2 linked regions of the Notamacropus eugenii genome follow. The protein of the gene in region 2 purifies or fractionates together with the protein of the main gene of each other region. This does not show direct contact. Links are inferred from orthologs where the notes say so. Each region holds a gene or a part of one and is shown on either strand. Other genes may lie near its edges. The genes, in order: FBXW7 and SOX9.

The links.
Region 1: the proteins of SOX9 (region 2) and FBXW7 purify together in Homo sapiens (affinity purification with western blotting; 4 studies listed by BioGRID and IntAct, with this or other methods). This does not show direct contact. The link is inferred for Notamacropus eugenii from reciprocal best matches to the Homo sapiens genes SOX9 and FBXW7.

What each region holds. Positions count from the first base shown.
Region 1 is NC_092877.1:150,480,104-150,488,273, forward strand, and holds the start of FBXW7 (F-box/WD repeat-containing protein 7), read right to left. Parts: upstream 3,689-8,170; 5' UTR 3,588-3,688; coding exon 3,435-3,587; intron 1-3,434. UniProt on the Homo sapiens protein: Substrate recognition component of a SCF (SKP1-CUL1-F-box protein) E3 ubiquitin-protein ligase complex which mediates the ubiquitination and subsequent proteasomal degradation of target proteins.
Region 2 is NC_092873.1:336,855,920-336,864,342, forward strand, and holds the start of SOX9 (transcription factor SOX-9), read left to right. Parts: upstream 1-5,108; 5' UTR 5,109-5,489; coding exon 5,490-5,920; intron 5,921-7,161; coding exon 7,162-7,415; intron 7,416-7,995; coding exon 7,996-8,423. UniProt on the Homo sapiens protein: Transcription factor that plays a key role in chondrocytes differentiation and skeletal development.

The sequences.
Region 1 (8,170 bases), on a different chromosome or scaffold from region 2:
ACAGAAAGACTAGGGGAAGATCGGGATGTGGTCAAGGAGTAGCCAATAGAATGGGATGACTGGGAGGTAACAGAAAATGGGTTTAGAAGGAATTAAGGAATGGTGAAATAGCCTACGGTGTGGCCAGATGCAAACAATGAAAGGGCAGATAAAAGGATTATACTGGAAAGAACCTGGGTGCTAGAGACTTGGTTCAGGGGTTTTGGGGTCCTTTTAGGGGTGCAACATAAATCCCATCCACCATCATTATGTTGTCTAGTAGTTGTTCTTTACATACAGCTTCATATTTTTATAGACCTCACGTTACAGTCAAAATGAATTACTTTTCCTAAACATAGTACATTTCCACCTCTGTGCCTTTCTTAATTTTATTTGGAATGCAGATCCCTACACCCTCGTTCAACGTAACTTTCCTTGGAATGTCCTAGTCCCTAGCTCACCCAACTCAATTCACACCCATTATTTAAGGTCCAACTTCAAATGCTTTCTCCTCTATGAAGCTTTCTTTAGCTATTTCATATTTAGAGATTGCCTTCCTACCACCCCCCACCCCAGAACCACCAGAGCATTTTATACCACTTTCATTCAACTATGAATTATAATTGCTTATGCAGACTATTGCATAAACCAGTGCTTCTTAATGTGGGTCACCATATGGGGTCACAACCCATAGTTTAAGAAGTGCTGAAGGGGTCATTAGTGAAAAAAGCTTAAGAAGTCCTAGTATAATAAATACCTATATAGTCTATACAGCCTAGACTTCACTTGGGAAATGATATAGTGTTTTTAAAGATCTTTCTTGAAACAAAGTCCCATCATTTAACGGCAAAATTTTTCTGGTAATGTTACAGTTATATAGCAAGGGATACTAATTAGTGAAGAATTAAAATCAATAAAGAGTTTACATGTACGCATGAGAAACCTGCAATATATTACCAATGAAAAACTGATATTATTCATATGGGAAACAAAAGGAGGAATTCTGTTTCCATAGGATGAAGACTCCTCCCAGCTTTGAGTAACAGCAGAATGTAAGTCAGAGATGACTAATTCTAATCAGAGTTGTGACCTTGCAGAACCTGGCTTCTGATCAGGTAAAAGTTCAGAAGCTTGTGTGTATGCTTAATGAGCTGTTTGAAAGGGAACCTATCAGGGAGAAAAATATGAAATAGGATATTTAGGAGGCTTCATCTCATCTTCATCTTCATCAATGGAGAGCAAGGTGGGAAATTCGAACTGGGAACAGCATAAAAAGGCTTGCATTATTCTTGCATTATGAACAAATGTAGCAGTCCATTAGGAACTACCTGTTCATTCAGGAGGGAATAAACATAAAAATTAATAAAAGTTTTCCAAATTTCACAATAAGTATTGATCTTTGTTTAAAGTGAGTATATTTCTAACACTCAAATAAATATATGGCTACCAAAATAAGTACACATATACTGAAAGCAAAAAATACTGGTACTCAAACAATATTCAAGTGAGCTAGAGAAAGACCCCTGGCAGAGATTCACAGAATTGCAAGGGATGAGAAGTCATGGATGGATTGTGATTTTTATCAATGAAGGGGTTGAAGACCATCTAAGAATTAAAATATAGGTATTTTATTTCCACTACTAGAATTAAAATTCCTTAAGCGCAAGGAATTTATCATATATCATTGTATCTCCCTCAGTGCTATATGCAATGTGTATATATGAATGAACCAAAATATGTCTTCACAATTTAATCACCTGTGGAAAATATTGCCAAGTGTTTCACTTAATAAAGATTTTAGTTTTACACAATTAGCCCACAGAATGGGTAGAAGTAGTCCCTTATTTATTAATGGGGCACAGATCAAAAATTAATGGATAAGAAGGCTGTTCAGAACCCCAAATGTAATTTATAAATGCTAGCTAAGATTCCTAGACCAGAAAACAAAAGGCTACTTAAACCACAATGCAACTGAACTATGGTGCTAGTAAAACTAGTCTGAATTCTGGTTCCTGAAAGCAGCAGCCACGTGGTACAAAACTGAGGAACAACAAGACTCTCTCCCTACGTTTCAGGTACAGAGCAGGCCCTACGCAAGCTTTTTCTATGCCTCTTTCTGTATTTTCTATATCTTTAACATATTATCTATATTTTCCCACATATTGTCTATATCTCTTTCTCCCCTATTCCTCCTAGATCACAAACAAGGTTCTCATACTATCTAAATCCTCCACTTACATCATCAGCCAGCATGCTGATGTGATAACTGTCACTACATTTCCTGTAATCATTTTCAAAATAAAAAATTTTAAAACTAACTTAACTGCACTTTTCTTAATTATCATGAGCAGCATCTATACTGTGTTATTTATAATTATCAGTGATAAAAGAGGCATCTGGCAAAAACTGCAAACAAATAATATAAATCTAATGAGTTCTGGTTAAGAACCTTATGACAGTTTTCAAAGAGTTATACTGGCAATACTTAAAACTAAAGTAATTTTTTCATTGCCAAAAGTATAACATTTTTATAACATACTTCTGAACCACATTTCTTTTGTTTGTTTTGTCCTAAGATTCTGCAAGAGATACACATTCCACAGAGACATTTTAAGAAAAGTTTAACACGTTACTACATTGGAAAAGTTGTTCTGCCTATGAAAACATTGAGCCATTAGGATGAAAGGATACTGTCAAGACACCTAGCAGAAAGTTATGATGCTAAATCAGACAATCATGATAACAATAACAGAACTCTATCATGTGTAACTTGACCTATATTTGGTTTTGTGATGAGTTTTAAGTATTAGCCAAGCAGTATCTTTCACTCAGGAAAGCTTTACAGGACATTAGGAAGAGTTGTACTATATCAAACCAGGAGAACAGATGCGTTTTCAATTTTCAGAATATACAGTGTATTCATACAAATATTTATTAAGTAACAGTAAAATAAAAGAATGAAAAACTATATTCAATCATATCAGACAGGTAACAACATCTAATATCTACCAACATTTTATGAACAAAAAAATGGGGAAAAAATACATAATTTATAACATTTCACAGAAAAAAGCCTGTAAATCTATTTTAATACTACATTTATTCCAAACAAAAATCCTATCCTGATTCAAAAGAAGTGCTATGGCTTTAAATGTCTAGCAGTTTAAAATCAACTCTAGGCTGAAATCACAACATCCATTAGTGTGTTGCACAGTTCAGAGCAAGCAAGTGGTTGTCAGTGCAGCCAGTAAATCACCTGATCCTATTACAAAATCAATTACTGCAGCGCGTTCCCATTGCTACACAACCCGATGATGACAAAATGATATTGGATAGCTACTGCAAGGTCAAGAAAACTGCTAAGAACATCCTTAATTTACCTTTTATCATTAGTTCCAAATGATAATGTATCTGATTTAACTATATATTTTGATTTAAAATAAATCTACAGTTACCTTTGGTTGACTGGGGCATTCGATGGACAGTCTCTGTAACTGGTCTGATGTATGGCTGCAAGACAGCAGATCGGAGCAGCAGGTCGAACGGCCCAGCCTCTTCATGAAAGAAGAAATAATGCTGCAGCCACAGCCACACATTGACTTGCTCATCAGATGAGTTTTCTCCTTAAGAAATCAGAACTGGTACTGCCCCATATATACTCAAAATTGGCTGACTGCCTCATTCTGCAGCTTCCTAGCTGAAATAAACACTGCTAAACAGAAAAAACAACAGTGATCTTCCAGATACCAGCTACAATCTCATCACCAAGAAAACTCAAGAAAAGCAGTCTCCCACAGTCCTCTTTTAAAGGTAAGTTGCTTAAAAATTCCTAAATGTTTTATAGTGGAATTTAAGTACTTAATAAAAGAGTAAACTTATGATAAGATGTCCTAAAATTTCACTAACCACTGCTTCTGTCCTCCATCACTTTAAATGTGTTTGATGACTCCTTCAGCTCAGCCTATCGAACCTGTTCCCTCTGTAAATGCACACAATTTCACGACCAACAGGAACGAGCCTCACCCCTCCCTTGCCATGTACACACTGTTCGAGAACAGCTCAATACCTGGAAAAGAACTGCTTGCTGCATTGCTTACAAAAATAACAGGCAGTGAATTATTGGATGGATTCTTTAAACTTACCAATCAGAGCTGCTGACCTTTTATGGCTCTATACTTCCAGAGACCTGCCAGATACTTGACTGTTTTCAGAGTGATAAACTAATTTTACTACTAGGCTCAACATTAATTTACTCCATCTTTTTAACCCTATCACAACTTAAAACATAGGAATAAAAAGAAAATCATATACATCTAAGAAATGTGGCCAATATAAAACTACGCATGGGGGAGGAAGAATTGGCAAACAATTATTTTGAATATTCATATATTTTAAACTACAGAAGAACTGTGAAAGAAATCTATAAAATATCAATGCAAATAATATGTGAAATGAACTGCAAAAGGAAGCAAAAGTGAGAAAACTATTTAAAGGAAAAAAACACGCATAGCTATAGCTGGGCAGATAGTAATTACTATCAAACAGAAACAAGAGTTCTAGGCACTAAATATCACTCTTGGTAAAACTAAATTTTCTGCCATAACTTTATCTAAATAGTCAAAATGAAGTGAAAAAATTAGTTCTAGATAATTTAACAGAATAGGAACATTACATATACCCTTCTACAACCAAGAAGAAAAAAACTTTTAACGTATTCTTACTTCGACAGTAATGAAAAATTAAAAAAAAATTTTCCGCCATCTACTCAGGACACATTACAGTTTCCAGCATCCAAGGGTAACAAACTACTCTGCACATTTATAAAGTAATTTTATTTCAAGTAAGTTTCACTTATTGGAACATCTCCTGGCTATCGACTGCATATTTTATCAGCAAATTTCTCTTTAGATATAGTTTTAAATTATAAGTAGAGCTGCTTAATTTAAGAGATATAAAGAAAAAGAGTCTCATGTTCTACTGCACTGAAAGAAAAGTTCCTTATTTGTTGATCTCTCCCCTCCTTGGCTCAACACTAAAACGAGCTAGTACTGCTTCTCCCTTCACCTTGTGTTGCCCTTTTCAAATTCATGTTTCTGTTAAATCAATTTCTAGCAATACCTAAATAGAGGCATGAACTCCAAATTAATTTTTTTAAGATTTTTTTTCTACATAAAGACAAGGGATACAAACAAACAAAATAATGCAGTAACCTTTTACTCGCCTGCTGGAGGTACTGTCTGCTGCATAGAATTTTAAATCCTGATCTGCAGATGCAATTGAGCTGGTATTGCCAAGGACTCTGCTTTTTCTGTGCTGCTTCTACATGGCTATTCATCGAAAGAGCATATTATGTGGCAAAATTAAAGTACTATCTGCTGAAATTTTTCATAACATTGGGGCGGAGGTGGGAACTTCTAAAACCCTGTTACAGATTGTCCTGTCACATTTTCAGATGCCTGTCAGACATCAGAAAAGGTCGCATTGATGATATGCTTTTAACAAACATGTAGGAAGATGACTTGGAGAGGGAATCCAAAATTATTATACTGTTAATGTGCAAAGACATTACTAGTAAAACTAGGTAAAATATATGTTGCAAAAACTCTTTCCAGAAGTACAATAGCTATAATAATTAGTTTTTAGATTTATCAGTAAGTAAATCCTATTTTACTAATAGGACTGGTTAGAAGATAATTGTTTCTGGTATATTGCAGGTATGTCTGCATAAAGCTTCTCATGCATACTAATATTAACAAAACTATGAACATTTTTAGCTACTCAATTTAAACACTTTCAGAATGAAAACATAAAGCAACAACATAATTAGAAAATCAGAAGCATTAAGTACTTGTGGACTATCCAGATTTTCAAACCCTAGAGTATGCTATAATAGGGATGAAATGGGAACAGTGAAGGCTATTATTCATTATTTATGATTTTTCCCTTTATGTCAGCTAATTTAATGTACTATTGATTCTCAAGATGCATATAGATGGGGCAAGAGGCAAACCAACAGGATCATATATACAAATGAAAAAGACTATCACAAAAATCAGTGAAAGATTATTTAAAAAAATAGTAAAGCTACTGCTAAAATTTCAGTTAAATCTGTGAAACAAAAGTAAATGAATGCCAATGCTTCAATTACCATACAATTAAACTATATAATTATTCGCCAATAAAATATAAAAATTACTGGATGTTTAAACTTATGCCATTATTTTTTAAGCCTTGGGGGAAAACACAAAAATAGGACATTTAAAGAGAATAATACTAGTTTGATTTTACCTTCTTTAGAGAAAAACGAAAATACTTCAATAACTGGGGAGAAGTGTTGAGAAATACGTAAATAACAGGCTGATAATGGCTCATCTGCAACAAAGCAAATAATAATCAAGCCTAAACTGATCTATTAGATCAGACCAGACTTATGTTTCCCTTATGTTTTAAAATACAATTTATAATTTCATTTCCACTAAAGAGGAGGAAAATCCTCCCACGTTTGTACTTTCCTAACAGATATTTAAGCTGTAATCAACTTTACAAAAGTTATGCTGTGTTGCCAAAAGATGACATATTCAGTCAAACTGAACAAGATAGAAATCCTCATCGCTGTTTTATCTGATGTATACCGTTTAAAGAAAGACTAGTCATCTTTTTTTTTAATCTAAAGGTAAGATCCTTTTATCATAAATTAAACTGTATATGTTATTATGCCCTTAAATTTAACAATTCTCTCATTCATTTTAAATACTCAATATATTTTCAGTAGTTTTTCTCTTCTATGTTAAGTGTGTGTGCGTGTGTGTGTATGTGTATATACGTACAGATAAATAAAAGCACCATCAAGCAGCAAATAACTGTTCTGAAAAATTCAATTCTGACTTCCAAAAATCAAAGTGAAAAATCACTCTGGCTCTACAAAAATTCTGGAAAAAAAAATTAACTGAGAAATAAAGAAAAATTCAATAAAACACTAAAAGTTCTTTTGGAAAACACAAAAGAAATACAAAATTATGCCCCATAAGAAAAATAGAATTCTTTATGTTCTTATAAATGCTGATACATTTAAACATTAAGTAAGTCTCAAAAGAAATATGAACTTTATATTAGAAGTTGCAAAGATCCTTTATCTTCCTCCTTTCCCCCTCAGGTTCCCTACTTCCTTGGTACATTTTACATTAACATGCCAAGTTTTAATTTTTTTTGCTACAAATTCTCAGATTAAATCTGTGGGATGCAGTCCACCTAAACAAGCTCTCTACACATGGCCAAATTTTAATTATTCATTTGAAAATACTTATTAATTATCTTTTATTCATAAGATACCTTACTGGTCCAAGGGGCTTATAAAGAGGTAGACTATGGTGAGCATATAAGGTAATAACTGATTTTGATGCATGACTTATAGAATACTTTTCATTACTTTATAGTCACACCCTATACATAACCCCTATGCTCAAGAAAATTTAGAATGGAGGTCAGAAGGGGGAAGACAAAAACACGTTGAAAGTTAAGTAGTTAATTAATTCTTTAATTGTGCTTTCTTAGCTACTCTCTTATTTCATTTTCACAAGGGCACTATGAGGTGGGTAGGGATGCTATAATCCCTTATATTTTATAGTTGATGAAACAGGTTCTGTGAAGTTGCTACCTGAAAATAATCACACAGCTGGTAAGTGGCAAAAGCACAAGTCAAATCCAGGTCTTCTTGTCTTAAAGTATAATGCTTTCTTCACTAGATCACATTCTCTTCTCAGTAATGATACAGGACAAAAATATTAAAGGTGTCAAGAAATAGTAGAGAACTAAGTCCCAAATAAGTGATACAGAGAGTTTTATAATTTCAGGAGAGAGATTATTATATGAATTTGTGAATGCAGATGGTATTTGAGCTAGGCTTTGAGGAAAAAGGCAAGATCTAAGTTGACAATAGGATAATGAAGGGATGGCACTATATTTACAGGAATACATATAGCATGTGCAAGAAACAGGGAGTATACTAGACTAGCTGGAGTTGTGGGTTGATATATGGAAGTAGTAGAAGAGAGGTCAAACTGTAGAAGATCAGGAATGAAAAGTTAAGGATTTTAGACTTTATTTGGCAAAGAGGAGTCAAAGAAGCTTTTGAGCTAAGGAGTGATATAAATATTTTAGGAAAATTAATCTTGCAGCAGTGTACAATGTAAAT
Region 2 (8,423 bases):
CTCCTGTGACTCCCCTCTGTCCCTTGCCCCTCTGCCTCCTCCCTTACCCCTGAAACAAGTAGCCTCGGGAGAAGGAGAAGGGGGGAATAATAAGAGGGCAGCTCCGAGGCAAGAGCTGCGGAGGAGAAGGGGTGTGAGGCTCCGCTAACCCGGGCTGATCACTACTGTTCCCTGCCCCACCGCGCCTACGCCAGGCAACTGAATTCAGCTTTATTCAGCTGGGCCAAACCACCTCTGGTTAAAACTTAGAGAAAAAAAATTAAATGAATTCCAAAAATGTTGTCCTGGGATCATCCTTCCTTGCCTTTCCCCTAGATTCCCCCAAGTCTTTTAAGGATGGATTGGGGACAATTAGAAGTAGACATACAGCGCGCGGGCCCCGTAGTTAAGGACACGGATTTTCGGGAAGAAAGCCAACCACACTCTTTGGGGCTTTTCCTCCCGCCTTCCCCTCTGCCTTGTAAACAAGAAAGCGGTCCGTAGATTTTTTCTTTCCCGCTTAGCTCGCCAACCATTCTGGCTCCTTGCCCTAGGAATATCCCGCAGTCTTCAATACAATGCACACCGCGCACGCACGCACGCAGCCTAGCTAGCTTCTCTGCTGTGGACTCGAGCCCCTCACCCCCACCCAGACACACACACCCCCACCCAGACACACACACACACACACACACACACACACACATAAGCACGTGTACATATTAGCATTCGAAAAATCACCAAGGTCGGGAAGATGAAGTCCTGCCTTGAAATACAAGTGAAAACGGGGGTTTCTGTACTGCCCAATCTAGATGACACAAATTTTAGCTACCTGGTCTAGCATCTTTCTAAGTTTTGAAGAGCATTTGAGTATTTCCTAAAGGGCAATTAAAACACACACACACACACACACACACACACAATTTTGTACACAGAGTGTACAAAGCTCTAGTAACTTAAAGCAGCATTAAGAATTTTTGGGACACCCTCTATGTATGGTGCTTACGGAGACTCTTGGACTGTGATGTGAAACACACACGTTATACGTAAAGTTGATGTATTCTTTCATTCGACAAATATTCTTTAAGATAGGGTGCTACAGTTCCCAGTCTCTATTTCTTCTCAGTCAGACTTCCATCCAGGGGACTCACATTTACCTGTGGCTCACTCCAAAGGTTTCTTCCAGGCTCATAGAAAGTAAAAAGGCCCCGCAAGACAAAGGAAAGAATTAATTACATGAGTTGGGGTTTAGCAAGCCAAAGCATTTGCTGGTTGTTCTGCTTGGGGTAAGAGACTGGCACTTTTCTTCGGAAGGGAAGGAAAAGGGCCTTAGCGACTTTTCAGCGGGTCTGGAGACACATAATAAGTGCCTAGGACTAGGTAAGAGGAATAATTTACCCTTTGTTTAGGTGAAGAAATTTGCTAGTAAAACTTCTAGCTTAATTTTTAACAGAAAACCCTAGTATTGGCTCCTCCACCTTACCAGCTTCTTCCAAATAGATCAATCTCGTCCTGTCCTGGCTCTCAGTTCTACCAGAAAGAGAAGGTTAGAAAAATGCTTAGAGTAGGTGAAGGGGGTGGGGAGACACAAATAGGGGAGAAAGGTAAATAGAGGAGCTCCCAGACTTCGGTTTTCTAGGATTCCAGGCCCCACTCTCCTTGGTGTCTAGCTGCCCAGGCCGCAGACTTTACAGCGCCTGTCTACTCTGGAGCTATGCTGGGTCCAGTTAAAATCCTGATGCTCTTAAAAAGAAAAGCAGGCAAAAGAGGGTGGGGGAGAGAACCACCTACAAATATAACAATAATATATTTGTTAAACATTATCCTTTAAAAACTAGTTGGATTCTCTTCAAGACTACCACTCCACAGTTCCTAGCCTGCCTCTCCTCAACCCCACACATATACATACACACTAACACAACCATTAGACTGAGACATTAGTCTACTGAAGGAATTAGGTTGGGAATCCACCTTTATTTCCTTCTTAAATATCTATTTTTGCAGGTTTGTGAATTGTTGCCTAAAATTCATGTGTCCTGAAAGAGTAAACTTTGAGTGGGCACTGGGGGGATGTGGGTCATTGGTTCTTCGGTAGGGATGACCTGGGATGGAATGATGCCATTGGAGAAGATGAGAACTGTGTTTCTCTGTGAAACCTTCTCCTTCAAATGAAAGAACTAGCTGCCAAGTCCGCTTTTTTAAATTTCTCCAAAGAGGAAGGCTTCTCACCAGCAAATTTTATTATGCAAATGGCACTGGCCTTTTCAGTGTCCAATGAAGAGAGATACATTTGGACTTGGTGTGTCCTTAGGTGAGAATGTCCTTCTATTTCACCATATGGTAAGGAATCAAAACCTTGGACATTTCCTCCAATCATCCTGGCCCCCAACATCATTCACTCCTACCCACACACCTATCTATATGTTCACATCTCAACTTCCCCCCAGGTTTGCTCCAGAAATGTTGGAGCTCACTAGGGAGAGAGACAACCAGAGAAAAACAGAAAGATAGACACACAGGGAGAAACATAGGGACACAGACGCAAATACAAAGACAGAGACCCAATGAAACAGAAACAAATCTCCCAAAAAAAAAAGACGGAGACAGAAACAGGGACACATAGAGACAAACCCTGAGACAGACAGAGAAACAGAGATGGAGATAGTCAGACGGAAAGACACAGATACACATACATAGAGAGAACACCAGAGACAGAAGTAGAGAGAGGAGGAGGAGGAGGAAGAGGAGGGGGGAGGAAGAGAAAGAGAGAGAGAAAGAGACAGAGACAGAGAGGGAAAGAGAGTGGTCCACGAACTCCAAAAGATATAAATCACATCACCAAACTCCAGATTAACTCAAGACTTTCCTCACCCTTCAAAGATTTTCTAAAGTTTCTCTTAGAAACGTAGAGTTCGTTCTTTTCTGGGCTTTTGGTGCCCCCTCTGGATGATGCTAGGAATTGCATGCTTTTCTCTTTTTTTAAATATCTGAAAGTTTACAATTAAGTTTAAGAAGGTACGGCAATATGCATGTTTCAAATGCACAAAAAATGCACAAAGTACGGTTACCGCTTTTTAAAATATGAGTATATAATTCATAATTCCCAATGTGGTATTACATGTAATATATAATATGTTGTACTGAAACTACTCAGAGAAATATTTTTAAATACTTTAAGGTCAAAGTCCACCTAACTGTCATTGTGCTAGTAATTAATTACAGGAATTAATATTTTTAAACTCTTCTAAATATTTTGGCAATGATTTTCTTTAAATCTCTGCTCACAGCTTGCAGTTTGTGCATGTATTCTTCCAGTATGTGCAAATTAGAAGAAATTAAACAATTACGTTTACAATTCCCTTTCAATACACAGGAATACACAACACAATTCCATCCCCCACCCTCACCCCAAGAAAGCAATATACCCTATTGGCATCCTACTTGCCAATACAACAGATGCACATTCAAGTTGGTTGTATGGTAGTTTTTTCAACACACAAACATGGTTATGCAGACGTTTAAGATTTTACTTTCCCTAGTGTCAAATAAGTATAATTTCTAAGTCATACAACTGTGACTACACTGTGATGAGTACACATTTCTTTTTTTTTTTTAATTACTTTCTTTTAGAGAAAAGGAGGCAAAAATTTTAACACTCTCCTCGAGAAAAAGTTTTTTTTTTCGTTTTTAAGAAAACCATCGAACACTGCCAGCTATTTTCAAATTAAATTAGGAGAGACATTTTATGTACCGCTCGTAAAATTCAACCTCCCCCCTCCAAAAAAAATCATCTAAAGCGAAGTGAAAATGTCTCAGAGTGGGAAAAGAGGGTGGTTCGTGTAAAAACGACGAGTTATTCCAAGTTATTCAAGTTTTGTGAAATTTTTAAGACGCAAATCCCACAGGGTTTCTAAGGCTGTTCTTGCGCTCAACACAATTTCAAAACCTATACTACTGGACTTTAGCGTCCTTAAGTATTCCTCTTCTAAAAGCTTTCTGTGGCGAGAGATAAAACCTTTTAAAAGTCGGCTAAAAAGGCATCCCACAATCTTAACAGTAGACACTTAAGAGAGAAGAAAGTGAAAATGCCTATCGTTCTTCCCTAGGCAAAGTAAAAGGTACATTGCAACTTAACTAAAGTGAAGTTTTTTTTTCTTTTGTAGTTCTGTTTGGGTTGTTAAATGACAAACCTTTGCCAAGCTGTCCCTCACTGCCTCGCGGATTAGGGGAGTTAGCTATCTAAAGCTTTGAACCATGAGCAAAGTCTTTCTAGTTGCAAACAGACACATTTTATAGAAGATGAGACCTTCCTGTTAGAAGACCTGAGTATGACTGCCATATAATCAGGGTGAGGAGAGTGGGGAGCAAGATAGATAGGGTAGAAGTTCTAAATGTCTTGTCAGAGATCAAGGTTCATTAGCCACCTACCCACCAGAGTGGATAGGGTGGAGGTGGAGGCTGAGCTGGTCGAGAACCCGAATTCCAGCGCTGCCCAGCACTAGCTTAGTGGGCACTACTTGGGTTTGAAGCAGCAGCGCCTAAGCATATTTGACAAGCGACACCGACCACAGGGAAGCATGACACGTTAATCTATTTATGCGGATTGTTGTGGAATAACAGCAGCCGTTAAATCTCCCAGACATTTTGCCGTTTTAAACTTGGGTTTTTTTGTTTTTCCTAAGCATATTCTGAGGCCAGCTCTAAGCGAATAATCTGTGTGAGACACTTGTAGCCACGGAGTCGCTTTCACGGGACAGTAAACTCCATCTACATCCTCGGTCATACTAAAAACTTTTTTTTTAAGTCTGTCTAGACAAACACGCGCGCGCGCACGCACACACACACACACACACACACACACACACAGAGAATAGTTTGCCCTGAGATAGTACCAAACTTCTGACATACCAAGAGCGCAGCAAAATCACACACAGACGTTTCTGGTCCCCCGCCTTCCCTTACACCCCATCCCCACCCCCACTGCCATCCCGCCCCTCCCATCCCAGAAACTGCAAGGGGCGCTCCCCTCCCCAAAACTTTTAGCCAATCAGCTGTGAAAGGCCGGGCTGTGATTGGCCGAAAGTCTCTAAGGTGAGGGAGTATTTATTAAAGAGACTGAGCCAGAGATTTGGAGAGTAGAGAACGGGGCTTGAAAATTGACTAGGTACTTTGGTGAAGCCTCGATTCCAAACCCTCCCACTTCCCCCCTCCCTCCCCAAGAACTTTTCTTTGGAGAAGAGAAAGAGCACCCACTTTTTCTCTCTCTCTTTTTCTCTGTTCCTTGAATCTCCCAACTTCGAGCGGGTGGCGGCGGACTGGACACCCCCCAGCTGCCCCGCAGATCTTTGCATCAGGGCGGCTCGGCGGACTTGCGAGCTTGCCGTGCAGCCCACTGCTCCTTCTCCGACCAGCTGAGGCGCGAGGACCCTACGCCTCCCGCCCGGCAGTGCCTTGGGTCAGAGCCCCGGCTCTCCTTTTCTCGTAACCCGCCCCCTCCCTCGGGCTGTCGCATGAATCTCCTCGACCCCTTCATGAAGATGACCGACGAGCAGGAGAAGGGCCTGTCTGGAGCCCCCAGCCCCACTATGTCGGAGGACTCGGCGGGCTCGCCCTGCCCCTCGGGCTCGGGTTCGGACACTGAGAACACCCGGCCCCAGGAGAACACTTTTCCCAAGGGCGAGTCCGATCTGAAAAAGGAGAGCGAGGAGGACAAGTTCCCCGTGTGCATCCGGGAGGCAGTCAGCCAAGTGCTCAAGGGCTACGACTGGACCCTGGTGCCTATGCCCGTGCGAGTCAATGGCTCTAGCAAGAACAAGCCGCATGTCAAGCGGCCCATGAATGCCTTCATGGTGTGGGCGCAAGCGGCTCGCAGGAAGCTTGCAGACCAGTACCCGCACCTGCACAACGCCGAGCTCAGCAAGACTCTGGGCAAGCTCTGGAGGTAGGTTCTTAGAGGAGATGCCGATCCACTCTCCCCCGGCCGAGCCCACCGCGGGGGACTGAAAGAAATTGGAGTTGGGGGCGGGGGGAAGAACTGGTGGCGCGGGACAGGGCAGCTCTGAGTTTGACCAAATTATTTGGATGCCATGTTTTGCAAACTTAAGCTTCCCACACTCTCACCCGGAGGGGCTGGAGTGCTATCTCACTGGAGGCAAGGAGAGGGGTGCTTGGTTAATTCGATATTGCGAATGAAAGCGAGGGGGAAGGAAGTGAAAATAGGGGCGTATAAAGTGTGTAATAGGAGGGATGGAGGAAAATTTTTTGAAAGTAGATTAATTAAAGCTTAAACTCTGCAAACTTGAGGGGCGGGGGAGGGGGTCGGTAGATGGAGGGGTGTGTGTGTGTGTGTGTGTGTGTGTGTGTGTGTGTGTGTGTGTGTGTGTGTGTGTGTGTTTCTGTGCCACTTAAGTGAGATCTCGGGAGAAAGAGAGAGGGCAAAAAAGGGGGGGCAGAAAGGGAGCTAGGGCGTAGGAAGGAATTTTTTGATTTGGGTGATGGCTTCTTTGTAATTCATTCTGGTAAACTGGCTGGTGCTTTACAGTGGTGGTGAGGAGAGGCTGGGAAAGTGCACAAGAGCCTATGAAAAGAAGAGAGGAGGCTGGATTTGGGGAGGGTGAAAGATAGGGGCAAAGGCAAAGGAGGCCACAGTTTAAAACATTTTTACCAGGAGGTAAAGCAATTTATCAGGAGGGGAAAAAAAACTTTTTTTTAAGGTGAGAGAGAGATGAGAGACAGAGACAGAGAAACAGAGACAGAGAGACAGACAGACAGACAGAGAGACAGACAGACAGAGAGAGAGAGAGAGAGAGAGAGAGAGAGAGAGAGAGAATTAACCCTGATAGCAAATTCCCCAAAGAGAAGCAGCAGACCCCGTGCCCATCTCTTGACTGTTTAGAAGAGAGAGAAAGAAGAAAAGGAGAATAATTACCTCATCTGACCTACACAATACAGTTTTATATAATCTTTTTGCTTATTATTTTAAAAAATAAAGCTAAAATTCCTCTATTAGACCAGTCAACTTGAATAGGATGAAGACTGCAATTCCCTCCAGATAGTCTTTTAAGAGACGTTCCATAGGAAAGTAACTGTATTGTACAGTATCAGGGCCCCACCCCCTCCCCAAATTGACAACTGTGCTGGTAGTCTTACCCTCTCTCCTCTCTTCTCCCCCTCTTTGCTCAGGCTGTTAAATGAGAGTGAGAAACGGCCTTTTGTGGAAGAGGCAGAACGACTGAGGGTTCAACACAAGAAGGACCACCCAGATTACAAGTACCAACCTCGGAGGAGGAAGTCAGTCAAGAACGGGCAGGCGGAACAGGAGGAAGGTACTGAGCAGACCCACATCTCGCCCAATGCCATCTTCAAGGCGCTGCAGGCAGACTCTCCGCATTCTTCCTCTGGCATGAGTGAAGTGCACTCCCCTGGGGAGCATTCTGGTATGTCGGATCCCATCCCCACCACTAACCATTCCCCAAGCCATTCACTCATACATTCAGCAGAGTGCCCCCCACCTCCCTCTTCACCTCCATCCCCATGGAGATTTCTACTCCTATGCCATCTCTGGCTAACCACTGTCTTCTGCATACAAATGTGCAAATTCAGGGCATTTCTGCAACTGGCCATATTGAAATAGCCACATTTTTTTCCTAAATTGCAATATCGAAGATTTGCAAAGGCTCTCAAAAACTCCATAAAGAGGAGTCCAATCTATTATCCACCCACTCTCCAAACACACTACAGCTGACCTAAAATATGCTCAGTTTAGTGTCTCAGAACTACTTGACTTCAGATCCACCGAAGATAAAAGTAGGTGGCTAGGTGTGTACCCTCTCTGGTTAATCATTCAGTGGCTTATCTCCATTCCAGGTCACTACTTGCTCAGGTCAGGGTCTTTATTACACCTTAGCAGTTAAACAGGGACCATAAAAGTGTTTCCCAGACAGGTCTATGCAGTTATCCAGCCCAAGTCCTTATCAAACATAATATTGACTTTTCTGTGTTTCTTCTTTTCTACAGGACAGTCTCAGGGCCCACCTACCCCACCCACCACCCCCAAAACTGATGTGCAGGCAGGCAAGACTGACCTGAAGAGAGAGGGACGCCCCTTGCAGGAAGGGGGAAGACAGCCCCCTATCGATTTCCGAGATGTGGACATAGGGGAACTGAGTAGTGATGTCATCTCTAACATCGAGACCTTTGACGTTAATGAATTTGACCAATATCTCCCACCCAATGGCCACCCAGGAGTCCCAGTTACTCATGGCCAGCCTGGTCAGGTTACTTATACAGGAAGCTATGGCATCAGCAGCACTTCTGCCCCCCCATCTTCGTGGATGTCAAAACAGCAGCAGCCTCAGCAGCCCCCACCTCCTCAACAGCCTCCTCCACCACCTCAGCCTCCTCAGGCCCAACCGCAGCCGACACCGCAGCAGCAGCAGCAGCAG